Macaca fascicularis: one gene and its partners. The protein of the gene in region 3 interacts with the protein of the main gene of each other region in a biochemical or structural test. Links are inferred from orthologs where the notes say so. Each region holds a gene or a part of one and is shown on either strand. Other genes may lie near its edges.

Region 1 (4,095 bases), on a different chromosome or scaffold from region 3:
CTTTGTCAGTCTGGGTTTTTGTTAACTTTACTAATTTGATGAAAATTGGTGTTCCCTATTTTTAGTTTGCATCTCTTTTCTTATTAGTAAAGTTACTGATTTGATTTCCTTGTGATAATTTAACAATTTCTGGTTCATCTGGGTTGATCTAGAGAAGATAATTGCTTACTGGGGTAGATGGACATGACTCGTCTGGTCATTTGATTTTTAATCACTAAATTGACTCCAGAGAGGAGGTAAAAGATGAATGCTTAGGTACCTATCAGACCAGGCACATTCCACAGGTTTTCAAAATGATCTTATTTGAGACATCCTCCAGAGGCTTTATTTTTCTAGCAAATATTTCCACTCTGCTTGTGTACATATGGACTTTCTAACATTTAAGGATTAGGACACAGACTCAGGGGCCAGAGCTTCCCAACAGTGGCTCCTATAAGAACTTAACAGTCTAGGACAGTAGACAGGCGACTGGGTTGCCTGCAGTAGCCACATCCAGAGAAACTGAAACTTACTTCACTTAATAGATGGCCAGTGCTGCCTTCTTCTTTATTCTGAGTTTCTAAGGATGCGATCTATCTATAGTCTTTGCAGAGGTATCCTGCTTTTCCTCTATTTCTCACTCCATGCTCACTACAGAGAGACAGGAGTTTCCCTACTTCATGAGGCACCAGTCCAGTACCGGAAAGCCCTGTAGGTGACAAGGCATCAAGAGCCTGTGTTCCTTCTAGCCCCAGTTCCATACTAGGGGTCTTGGGCATATTCACCTAATCTGTCTGGCATTTTGTTTCTCTTCCAAAAAAATGAAATGGCTGGACTAGATATTCTAAGCTTCCTTCCAACTCTAAACCTTCAGTGAATCTCATTGTAAATCTAAATCTAAAATTTCAATGAATCTTAGGCTAGTGAAGCACATTGTAAAATCCATCTGTACAGAGCTTGCAAAACTATGCCCTGAAATTTCACGAGATCAGTGTTCCAACATATCGTCTTCTTGCCCTAGCTCCCATACAAAGGATTTTCCTTTGTGATCAAGGGTACCTCATGACTGCCTCTGAAGCTGAACATCCTTTGAATGATGGCTGAAGTCTTCCCTTCAGCTTCTCAGTGACTTCAAGAAAAACCATTCTAATGTACGGAATTGATTAGCCACATTTTAAAAGCTTACATCCTATAAAACATTTTATAAATAAAGTTTCACTGTGATCTCTTTAGAGGCTTTAAAAGAGGAGAGGACGTTTCTCAGAAACATCTGTCTCTGCCTTCACTTCGCCTTCTCTTCCCAGAAGTCATAGCCACTGGCATGTGTGCCAGGACCAGGGTGTCTGTGGAAGGGGACAGGCCTGGAACCACTGCTCAGGGGGCAAAAGTCCACGGTTGTATATGTGTGTCTCTTTCCAAAGTCAAGCGGAAGTGATTTTGAATTGTGTGCCGTGCTCAGCTATATTGATTGTGAGCAATTCAATTCACTTCACATTTTTAAAGCAGCTCAAGGAATCATACTGACCAGAGATTCCGAATTAGCCAGGATTCCTCTCATAGTATACATAAGCCAAAGTGTAGGACAGAATATAAGGCATTCCATTAACATATTTCAGTGCTGAGGATCACCTTTAGGAACTCAATGTACATGTGAAAAAGGACTCACCTATTTGCTTCTCCAAAGATGATGCTGTATGCTTCTGGCTGGTAGACTAGTAAAAGAGAAAGAAAAAAGATGCATAATAAAAATAAAATTATTTAAGCAAAAGAGACAGAATCGTCAAATAAACCAAGCCCTGGAAAGAGAATCCAAATACCTCAGAACTTTTGCTGACTCAGGCTTTGGTCAAGCAATTTTGCTTCACTGTCCCTCAGTTTTGTGATTTGAAATCGTACCAGTATTTTAAGTATTTTCAAGATTTAGTTTGGTCATCTGAACAAATTTACTTCCAAGCAAAACTTAAAAGTTTTGTTTGTTTTTTACTCCTTAAATCACTAGGTATGAGGCAGTAAGTGGTTCAACAGACTGAGTTGACAACTGAGGAAAGAAAAACTGTTGGGCTCTGATTCTTTACAAAATAAAAAATATTCCCTTCACTCCTATGAGCCTCCATTTCTCTGCCTATAGAATAGAATAACTAGAACAACCCATTTCTAAGAAAAAAAAAAAAGGATTGAAAAGCACTTTGCAAGCCAGGCAGTGGGCCCTCCACCCCCTTATGCCTGGTGCCTCCAGGGCACAGCAGTCTGCCAGCAGGCTTACCTCTCGGAGTTCTGCCAGCTCTTTCTGTAAGTGGAAGAGCTGAAACATCCCCAGTCCCAATCCTACCAAGGCAACCAGAACCATGAAAAACATCACAAGGAGACAAAGGCCTGTGCTGTGGTTTCCCCTCTTCTTCAAGGGTGGCAGCGGTAGTGGAGGCAGTGGTGATGGCGGTGGAGGTGGTAGTGGCGGCGGTGGCGGCGGTGGTGGTGGCCTCCTTTGACCAGGCCTTCTGGGCACAGAGGTTGGACAGGGAAGAACTGTGCCTGGAGGGGCCCAGGGAGAGCTGGCACTGCTGTCCACCCAGTAGATCTGGGGATATGGGTAATTGAAGGGCTGCTGCATGGCAGCCGGTGAGTCAGGCCAGCCCCAGCAAACGGTTTTACTTCTCAATCCTGTAGAGGCTGAGGTGTCAAGGACAGGACTCCTGTTGCTGACTGCTCAAGAGGAGGCAAGCTGGATCTCTCTTATAGAGTTTCCATAGCTAAGGGAAACACCTCTGTCTTTCTCTTTCTCTATGTCTCTCTCTGATTCTGCTTCTCAAAGAAACACCCACTCACTTTGCAGCTGAAGCTGAGAAGCCTCAAGAAGCTCAGAGCAAACCCCTGGAAGTTTCCGCCCACAATCTTCTGACGAAAGCCTTGGAAGCCTCAGTTGCTATCGCTGTACTACCCAAACAGGTTGGTAGGCTATGCTCACCTTCCTGGGATCCTGTAGAGCAGGTCAGCATTGGGGTAGAGCCCTGTTGGCGTGAACTGCTCCCAGCTACAGGAGAATGGCCAGTGGGGCTATAATTTTATGAATTATAATTGTATCCTTTTTTATACATTATAATTGTATAATGTTAAGAATTCTACCATGTATACGACCAAAAAACTATTTAAAAATACCAAAATACCTCTAACAAAAATTGTTCAGAACCATATTTTTTAAACTATAAAAATTTTACTGAAATTGGCTCTGAGGGGAGAGACCATGGAGCCATGGCCAGAGAAGTCACTCCCACATTTTAGTTTTTGCAGGAGGAAAACACCTGTTGCCATCATCGCTTCCCCACACACAACTACCATTTACCCTGACCTGCCAATCACCATAATTTACAGGTTAAAAAACCTGCTACACCCTCTTTAGAAATTAGATCAGAGGCTGCAAACAGTGGAACCCACAGAACTGCTTTGTATTTCACAATGTTTTCATTTTCATTGTTTGCCCAGCTTATTTATTTACGTATTTATTTAAATAGAGACAGAGTCTCACTCTGTCACCCAAGCTGGAGTGGAGTGGTGCTATCATAGTTAACTGCAGCCTCAAACTCCTGGGCTCAAGCAATCCTCTTGCCTTGGCCTCCTAAGTAGCTGGGATTATAGGCATGAGTCACTACACCTGACTAATTTATTTATTTATTTATTTTTGTAGAGATGGGGACTCGCTATGTTGCCCAGGCTTGTCTCAAACTCCTAGCTTCAAGACATCCTCCCACCTCAGTTTCCCAAAGTGCTGGAATTACAGTCATGAGCCACTGCACTCAGCCCAATTGACCACTTTTAATATCAATATTAAAAATATTTTAATATATATACATTTTAAATACACATTAAAATACATATTTTTGTTCTGTTTTGCAATATCAGAATATCAGACACCCTCGAGGCCATCTCTGCAAACCCAATCAGTGGGAAGTAGGTAGCAGCTGCTCCTGAGAATGAGCGACAGGTGTTCTGGGTCACCCAGCCTCCGCCAGCGGCCTGTGTCTCACACATCACCTCACCATCTGAAAGGCCTGCCTGGTCCTTGCCGATATTTCTGTGTCCTGTCCCTGTTATGGTTGCCAGATTAAATACATGGTGCCCAGT
Region 2 (4,119 bases), on a different chromosome or scaffold from region 3:
AGCTGTAAAATGTTAGGGGTAATAATAATACTACTTCCTAGGCTCATTGAGACTAGCGGAAATAGCAGGTAAAGCCCCAAGCAACAGGCCTGGCACACAGTTTCCAACTGAAGAGCAACAACTATGTATAACACACATGTCATACAAAATTTAAGGCCCATTAGAAAGCATGTTATAAATGCACAGCATACATGATTTAGAGAGTCATGAGGAAAAAATATGGGGATGAGTGGGGGAAAAAACAGAATAGGGATAAATGAATTATCTGGGATATTTATTTGGGATATTTCCAGCAGGAAAATAATTTAGACTGCCTTGCGTCCAGCTGCTGAGAATGACTCCAGCCTCACACCTGCAGGAATGAAGCGGGGAAGGTATGATTCACCATTCCTTGCAGCTTCATCCTGTTAGGCACAGGAGCTGTAATAATGGGGTGGTGGTGGGGGAGAAGAATGACGGTTAGGACAAAGTGGGCACCTCCTAGCCCTCAAAGGGCAATACAGAGAAATATATGGGAATTGAGGGGTGGGAAGCATAAGCCACAGCTCCTTGCTGCAGCCAGGGGCAGACGGTCAGATGCACCCATACTCCATGAGGTCCCCGTGAGCAGGAGAGGCAGAGGAATTTCAAGGTGGCAGACAGGGACCAGGGGAATAGTTGAAAAGAGTGCTGAGTCTACACTCAGCACATTGGAAAATTCTGGACCCAAAGGATCCTTCATGATGCAGATGCCTCCTTGTACTCTGGAGGACACTGGGTTCCCCAGAATTTAAGCAACCTGCCTTAAGCAACCTGCCCAAGGGCACGCAGCCAAGAAATGGCAGAGAAAAGGAGAACCCAGGGGACAGATCAAGGCTTTGTCGTTACACCACACTGCCCCCCCAGGAGACAGACTTAAAATTCCCTTTGCCAAAAATCTTTTGGGAAGAAGAAAACCATTGATTCTTTTAATTTTGTAAAAGGGAGATATTCGATGTGGTCTTTCTAGTCTCCTACTGGGGTCTAGTTCACATACCTTAACTGATATTAAAAAGGTCAAGGCACAAAAACATAAAGACCAGATGTGTTGTTTTAAGCTAGGTGATCAAATCCTCCAGGGAATCTGAACACTCCCTCGTGACCCCTGCTGACCCCTCCTGCTGCACAGGGGTCCAGATGCAAGGCCTCTCTGCCCCCACAGGAAAGCCCTCACAATAGTTACAAGACCAGGACGCGGGAGACTGCGCCTGGAGACTTTATAGAGAAACTGACCAGTAGTAGACAGTCTCACAACCGTTCATTGCGCCGCTTCCTTTCAAGCGCTTGATTCCAGCTAAGACTCACTTTCTATCCTTACACCATCAAGGTAACCTTAAAGGTTTGTTTTAAAAATGACCTGGGAGAGAGCAGTGCTTCAGGAGTGAGCTGGGCGACCTGCACTCGCGCGCACCAGCGACACCTGGAAAAAAGGGAACGAGAGGCAGAAATCTGACCGAGGGGCTCCAGCAGCCGGCAAATCCTTCACCTAAGACCCAAGTTCCCGCGCGGATATATCTGGTTTTTTGTTATAGCTTTAAGAACTGAGTAGGATTTGCAGAAAGTTCCACTCCATCTCCCACCCCACCCCCAGGCAGCCCTGAAGTATAGATGTCCCCTCCCCGGGGACAGGGAGGCGGGCGGTCACTAATCTCAAAAATTTCCGAAGAAAACAGGACCTGCGAATACAGGTCGCAGATACCGGGACTACGGGCTTCCAGAGCCCGCCAGGCAGGCCGGGCACACTGGCCGGCGTGCTAGGCAGCCGGGATCAGGGCACGCATAGTCCCAGCACGCTGTCCCTTGCCTTCCCGGAGCAGGCGGCAAACGCAGCCTCCAGCCGCCCCGGGGCGCGTGGCAGGAATGAAACGGCGCCGCGGCCGAAAGGGACGAGCACAGGATATACGAAAGCAAAAAGTCTGCAACCTAGCGGCTGCTTTCCACACGCCCTGCCCAAGTTGTCCCCGTACACACCACCTCCAGGCTCGCGGGAGTCCGGCCCCACAGCCACACGCCGCGCACTCCCAGAGCAAAACCCTAACCCGGAGGCGGGGAAATCCGCAGGCTTCGATTCGTCTCCACGGGTGGCGCCGTGAGCAGAGGCGGCAGCGGGTCGGTCCCCAGCTCTGGGCACAAAGAGCGCCTGCGGTTGGAAGGCAGCAGCCGCAGAGGAGAGAAAGGGCTCTCTAACTTTGCCCTCCGCGCGGCGGAGAACCTGCAGGCAGGTCCTCCTGGGCACCGGTCACACACACGCAACTTTTAACAAAAGGAAGCTGCGGCCGCGCCTCGCACAGCGAGAGAAGGCGCTCGGTGGGAACCCCTGAGCCCCTCGCCTCCGCCCCCCGCGCAACCTCGGCACAAAAGCCACCCCAAACTCGCACGCAGCCTGCAACCTCGCTCACGCCTAACCTCCCCTCGCTGTCCCCATTCCCGAGGAACCCCGGCTTCGCGTCCCCACCACTAGCAGCTGGGGTCTCCTCGCGCAGGTGAGCGAGGCAAGGCGCAGGAGAGTCCGAGGGACACCTGGAGTCTCCCCCGGAGACTGGAACGCACAGGCACTGAGGGCCCGCAGTCCTCTCTCCGGATGCACTCCGGCGTGTACCACCCTCCCGGGCACAGGCTTCGCCGAGGAGTCGCACGGTCGGGGTGCCAGCCGCGGTGACCCACCTGTCTGGACGTGGAGCAGGAAGAGCAGAACGCAGAGAAAATCCCAGGCGCCGCGAGCGCCTCTCATCGCGGTGGCTGCGCTGGGATCCGAGCTCTGGTCCACGTTCCAGCTCTCGCCCAAGTGCAGCGAGCGCGGCAAAGCCGAGCCCCCAGAGCCGTGAGCGCCGAGCAGCAGCCCCTCCTCCCAGCGCCCTCCCTCTGCGCGCCGGCCACGCCCCTCCTCGCCTCCCCTCCCTCGCGCCCGCCCGGGTCTCGCTCCTTCCCGGCGGCGTCTGGCCCCTGCTCTTTCGACGTGTTAATGCCGGGGGGCTGTGCCCGCGGGGAGGAGGAGGGCGCGCGCGCGCCCTAGCTCCCAGCTCTTGACCCCGGAGCCCCTTTCTCTCTCCACCTCTCCACCCCTGGGATGTGGTCGGCCCGCCCGAGGCCGTTCCCGGACCAAAGAGGTGCTGCCCGCTCGCTTTGTGAAGCTGGGCACCACGCGCACGTTAGGGCACGGGCCCGCCACCTGCCAGGTGCTCCCCAGACAATAAAGGACGGCTGCCCGTCCCTCGAGCACGTTCGGGCGGGAGGAGGCTGGACGCCGCTGCTGGTGGAGGTGACACGGGGATGGGGAGGGGAGCGTTAGGAAATTGAGCCCCGACATTACCCTCCAGGCCTGTTAGGAGCGCGTGGCACCGCGGTAAAGGCTGAGCCCGGCTTAGCTAATTGTTTCTGCTCAGTTTCTCCACCTGCTTCGTAACCTGTAAGAATACAGTGGGTTCCTATTGGTCGGCGTGGCCTCCGCCCAAGAAGCCCCTGCCGGGACTTGTGTGGAGATTGGGGCGGTGAAGTGGGGAGGGGCGCGTTGCAAAGTTTGCTCTGGGAGCCCAGGTTTTCATACACATTTCCCCCTCTCCCCCCAACGCTGCCAACCCCAGTAATGATTTATCTGCCTCTGTATCAGACGACAGTTTTAGGGCTAGGGATCCCTGTGTCCCTCTTAACTGCCCTTGCCGGTCCCAGGAGCAGAATAAAAGTACAATGATTCTCTTAAGCCAGATTTCACTGCCCGGAAAGTGCTTTATCCACAGTCTCATGGTGGATCCTTGAACGGAAAGCAACACGGTATCTGTATAGGGGTTAATAGTTCTTCCCCACACCGACTCTTCTTTTCATGCTCACCATAACAGCTTTGTGAGGAGGGTAGAGCAGGTATGTTTATTATTGTAGTGAGGGAAGACCCAGGGCTTGAACCCTTATTTGAAGACCTACTCCAAGAAAGATGAGCTTTCCCTATGGATTCTGATAAACTAAAAAGACATCCCTCCTGAGAGCTTAAGAATGGAAAATAAGTGGCAGATGCCCATGAGAAAAAGGGATAGAACAGATACACCTAGACTCTTCTCTGAAGTATCATCCAAAATTTATAGTTGCCCAGCTGCCCCACTCCATTTAATG
Region 3 (4,082 bases):
ATCACTGAGATCATCAGTAGGAGTGAGCTTATAACGACGTTCCCTGCTGTGGGCATGTATACATTGTATCCTTATTTATAAAGTTAGTATGGGTTTGTACATGAATAATATGATTTAATTTTGTTAAGTTACAACTCCACATAGTCATGTGAACCAACTGGAATCTCAGCTGTTTTTGGTGATTTATTTCTAAAAACAAATACTACAGATAGAAGTAAAAGGCTTTCAAAGTCATTGAACAGTGCTGGACCACTTTTCTGCTAAAAGAAAGCTATTGGAGGGGTGGGGCCGGGGCGGGATTACAAAGTTTCCACCTACCTTGGTAACACCAATGACTCTAAAATAATGTGGGCCTTCTGGATTGGGCCAACTACCTTTGCAGGAAACATCTTAACCACCCCACATCAAGACTTCTCTTCCAGTGATAAGTAGAGAAGAGCGGTGCTGAGTGGAGACTCATTTAGAACACTAAATGTGGATAACTCAGTGCTGGGTAACTTTACAATCAACAAAGCCTCTCAAATCCCCGTTTTAGAAACCACAACAGAAAGGGCCAGTAGGCTTCAAACACTTTAGGGACCAGCTCTATTTCTTCATCTCCCTATGTCCTCAGTTTTACATAGGGCAAGCTCACAGGAGCCCTTCATTCCTTCTTCCAACTAATCTCGAACTGAGCACCTACTATGTACCAGGCACTGGGGCTATCATTTTGGACAAGACAGATGAAGCGGTTTTCATGGAGCTTCCACTGTAATAGTGAATACAGACTATCAACCTGCAGACAAATCAATATAACTCTGACTGCTGCTATAAAGGAAATGTTGGCTAAATAAATGACCCAAGTGGTTTATCCCAAATCACAGCATATTAAATGATGGAAGAGGCCAAAACCCAAGTTTCCTCGCTCCTATTTTCTCTCCCCTTACATCTGCTGCCCTCTATCCTTCACTCAGCAAAAGGGCCACACATTTACATCCAAAGAGACCCAGTCACCAAAGACTCTATGATCTAATGAAATTTCTTCAGGCCTGAAAGCACTTACCTGCTTACCTCCAAATGAGAATGGAGGGACTAACTGGATCCCACCCTTTCCCAACAAAGCTTACTCTTACAGAGAAGGGCTTAGTAAGGTCTAGGCTCTTGCAGTGCCTATTCCCCAGGGCATGGCTTTAGGTGTTGGCTGTAGAGAGAAAACATCCCTGTAGCCCACCAGTTTATTGGCTAGTTCTTTAGGGCAAGTCAGACTACTGGGCCCTGCTTTGGGACAGCAAATCCCTCATGTATTTATTAAGCAGATTTACTAATAAGGTCAGATGGCTAAATCAGACATGGTAGTCTTAGGTTCAATATCACCAGGCTGCAAAGAACCAAGAAGCCTCGTTTATATGAATAGAAGTCACTGCAATAAATAACAGTAACATCGTTTATGAAATGTTTGGTATGTACTAGGGGCTCTGTGTGTACTAAACAGTCCCTGAGGTATATATGCTTTCTCAAAGATGAAGAAACCCAAACAGGGAATTTCAATAATCGGTCCCCTAAATATACAGCCAGAAAAGTGCAAGGCCTGGATTCTGAGCCGGCGAAGAAGGGCGAATTTGGGATAATTAACACACACGGTTATACAAAGAAATGAAGATACAACCACTAGTTCACACGACAGGCAGGCTGTTGGAAAGTTACGAATGCACCGCAAGCAAAAGATGCCACCATGGGCCCAGAGAAAGCAGGAAAGTGGGAAGTGACTCTTACGCCCTTCCCCCAAGGCGAAGGAAAGGCAACCCCTGAATTCTTAAAATAACTCTCGCTTCCTCTCAGCCGGCAAAAGCACCGGACTGCTCCTCCGCAGGCCGAAAGGCGCCGCAGCGGGAGGGTGAGCTCCAGCCTCCGCCGCAGACCCTCGACGTCACGCTCCTGCCCCGGGCCACCAGGGAGGGCAGCTGTCCGCGGGCCTCGAGAGGGCGCCGGCGGAGCCCCATCTCCCACTTCCAGGGGACCCAGGGTCCAGAGGGGAGACCAGATCGCACAATCCGAGGAGTTGTCTCCAGTATCCCTGCCGCGCGCCCGCTCCGCAAGGGCACGGGCTTCGCCGCCGTGCGCGCTGAGCGGCCGGAGCGGGGACAGCAGCCGGCCCTCGGGCCCTCGCCGGGAAGGACCCGCGGTGAGCCCGCCCCCGCGCCCGCACCTCCCACCGCTCCCCTGCGCGGCTCAGCCGCTGACACCTGCGGAGCCTCGGTCCCCGCACCCTGGCTCCCCCGGGGCCGGTCGCCCGCCGGCTGAAGACATCTGAGAGCCTTCGCCGCCGAGGCCCGGAGGCTGTGCGGCCAGGAAGCCGCCGCGGGCCGCGCCGATGCCCCTGGCCCCGAGTCGACCCTGCGCCCGGGACTCTGGCTAGTGGCACAGCCGCGGTCCCTGCACCCCCGGCCCGCGTGCCCGCGCGCCCGCGCCCACACTTGGGTTCGCGCAGAGGACTCACCCGCTCGCGGTGAAAGTTTCGGGGTGGCGGAGCTCCACGGTGACTTGAGTTCAGAGCAGGGGGCGCGACGGGGCGGCCCAGCAGGACCTGCGTAGGGGGAGGCTGCTGGCCGGGAACGCGGGACGCGCGGCGAGGGGCTGCTGGCGCGGGGCCGGGGTTGGCGCGGCCGCCCCGCTTGCCGCGGGCTGGAGGCTGCAGCGCGTCGGGCCCGGAGGCGCCACGGCCGGGGAGCGAGCGGCAGCGCGGCCCGGCGCGGCGGGAGAGGAACTGGCTGTCTCTGGGCTCGGTCGAGAGGTCCCAGCTACTTCCTGGTGCTCGGATTTGCATATTGAGCCCGGAGGGCGGGGAAGTGACCGTTTGGTCCCTGCCCAAGGTTTGGGTGTTTGGTGTGGCCGTCGCGCAGGGCTTTGAAGGCACAGAAACCTGGCGACTCAGTCGGCAGCTCCGGGGAGTGGAACAGCCTGGGCCAGCCTTCTACTGTAGGGACGGACGGAACGATCTCCGGAGGAGCCTGGGCTTCGCAGGCACATCGACGATACCTCTCGCGTCTCCTTTCCTTTCCTTCCGACCCATCCCCAAGGTGTCAGGAAGGGGGTGCTCCCGGGAGCGGAGGAGGTGCGCTCTGATGCCTTCCAACATTTGGGGTTCTCTAGAGAAAGGACGCGCGCGATATGCCGAGGTGATGCTCGGGGTCTCGTTGAGTTCTTAGTAATCATTACGAAGTAAGTTCCTTAAGGGTGTACAGGAGGCTGTTCAGGGCATTGATGTGGAAGGGGATGACATGGAGTCAACGGGCCCGGCAGATTCTCCGTTTCTCAAAGCCTCAGTTTCCTCCCAGGACAATGGATGTAAGGATGCCTATCTCGTGTACCTTTCTGTACAGGGCACGCACTGGCCGCATGCAGGAATGCTGGCGTTATTTCATTCCTGCTACAGCTGCATCCCAGCATGTAGGGCAGTGCTTGCACGTAGCAGGTGCCTGACCAGTGTTCGCTGAAAGAATGTGTGACCGCGTGCTTAAGCTCATGTTCAACTCAATAAATGCCACTTACAAATCCAAGATGTAAGATTAGGCTCGGTCAGTGGATACCCACTTCTACGCCAGATTATGTTCACTGGGATCCCAGCATTGCAGTACCTTGAAAAATTTACAAGGAAACAAATTGGACACTGTGGGAGACTTGGTCTTTGCATTAATAGCAAACATTTACAGAGGGCCTGATGGGCCAGACACTGCCCAAAGCACTTCCTTTCTCTCATTAACAATGTTCTGAAGAGGCTGGCCCCAGCTACAGAGCAATAAGTCAAAGCAGCTGCCTTGTGACACAGTCTGATACAGCAGTCATTTGTTACTAGGAAAGGAGTACTAAAGTTTGCATACTAATTCCTTAAAAGAAAAAAAGAAAGGTGGTTTATACCTGTGATGTTCACTGGTAGGTAGTCGTTAGTTTACTGCTGAAGAGAAGGGGTGGGTTACCCATGGGAAGGTGTGTGATTGAAACCTGTCAAGAATCCTATGGAGAAAAATGGAAAAATGAAAAAAAAAAAAAAAAAAAAAAAAAGAAAAAGAAAAAAAAAAGAATCCTATGGAATAATTCACTACCTG

The links. The genes of interacting proteins can lie anywhere in the genome.
Region 1: the proteins of LYN (region 3) and FASLG form a complex in vitro, tested with the Homo sapiens proteins (2 studies listed by BioGRID, with this or other methods). The link is inferred for Macaca fascicularis from reciprocal best matches to the Homo sapiens genes LYN and FASLG.
Region 2: the proteins of LYN (region 3) and KIT form a complex in vitro, tested with the Homo sapiens proteins (2 studies listed by BioGRID and IntAct, with this or other methods). The link is inferred for Macaca fascicularis from reciprocal best matches to the Homo sapiens genes LYN and KIT.

Annotation. Positions count from the first base shown.
Region 1 is NC_088375.1:30,264,225-30,268,319, reverse strand, and holds the start of FASLG (tumor necrosis factor ligand superfamily member 6), read right to left. Parts: upstream 2,808-4,095; 5' UTR 2,588-2,807; coding exon 2,243-2,587; intron 1,692-2,242; coding exon 1,646-1,691; intron 1-1,645. UniProt on the Homo sapiens protein: Cytokine that binds to TNFRSF6/FAS, a receptor that transduces the apoptotic signal into cells. Involved in cytotoxic T-cell-mediated apoptosis, natural killer cell-mediated apoptosis and in T-cell development.
Region 2 is NC_088379.1:79,244,419-79,248,537, forward strand, and holds the start of KIT (mast/stem cell growth factor receptor Kit), read right to left. Parts: upstream 2,808-4,119; 5' UTR 2,750-2,807; coding exon 2,683-2,749; intron 1-2,682. UniProt on the Homo sapiens protein: Tyrosine-protein kinase that acts as a cell-surface receptor for the cytokine KITLG/SCF and plays an essential role in the regulation of cell survival and proliferation, hematopoiesis, stem cell maintenance, gametogenesis, mast cell development, migration and function, and in melanogenesis.
Region 3 is NC_088382.1:65,848,371-65,852,452, reverse strand, and holds the start of LYN (tyrosine-protein kinase Lyn), read right to left. Parts: upstream 2,807-4,082; 5' UTR 2,804-2,806; coding exon 2,477-2,803; intron 1-2,476. UniProt on the Homo sapiens protein: Non-receptor tyrosine-protein kinase that transmits signals from cell surface receptors and plays an important role in the regulation of innate and adaptive immune responses, hematopoiesis, responses to growth factors and cytokines, integrin signaling, but also responses to DNA damage and genotoxic agents.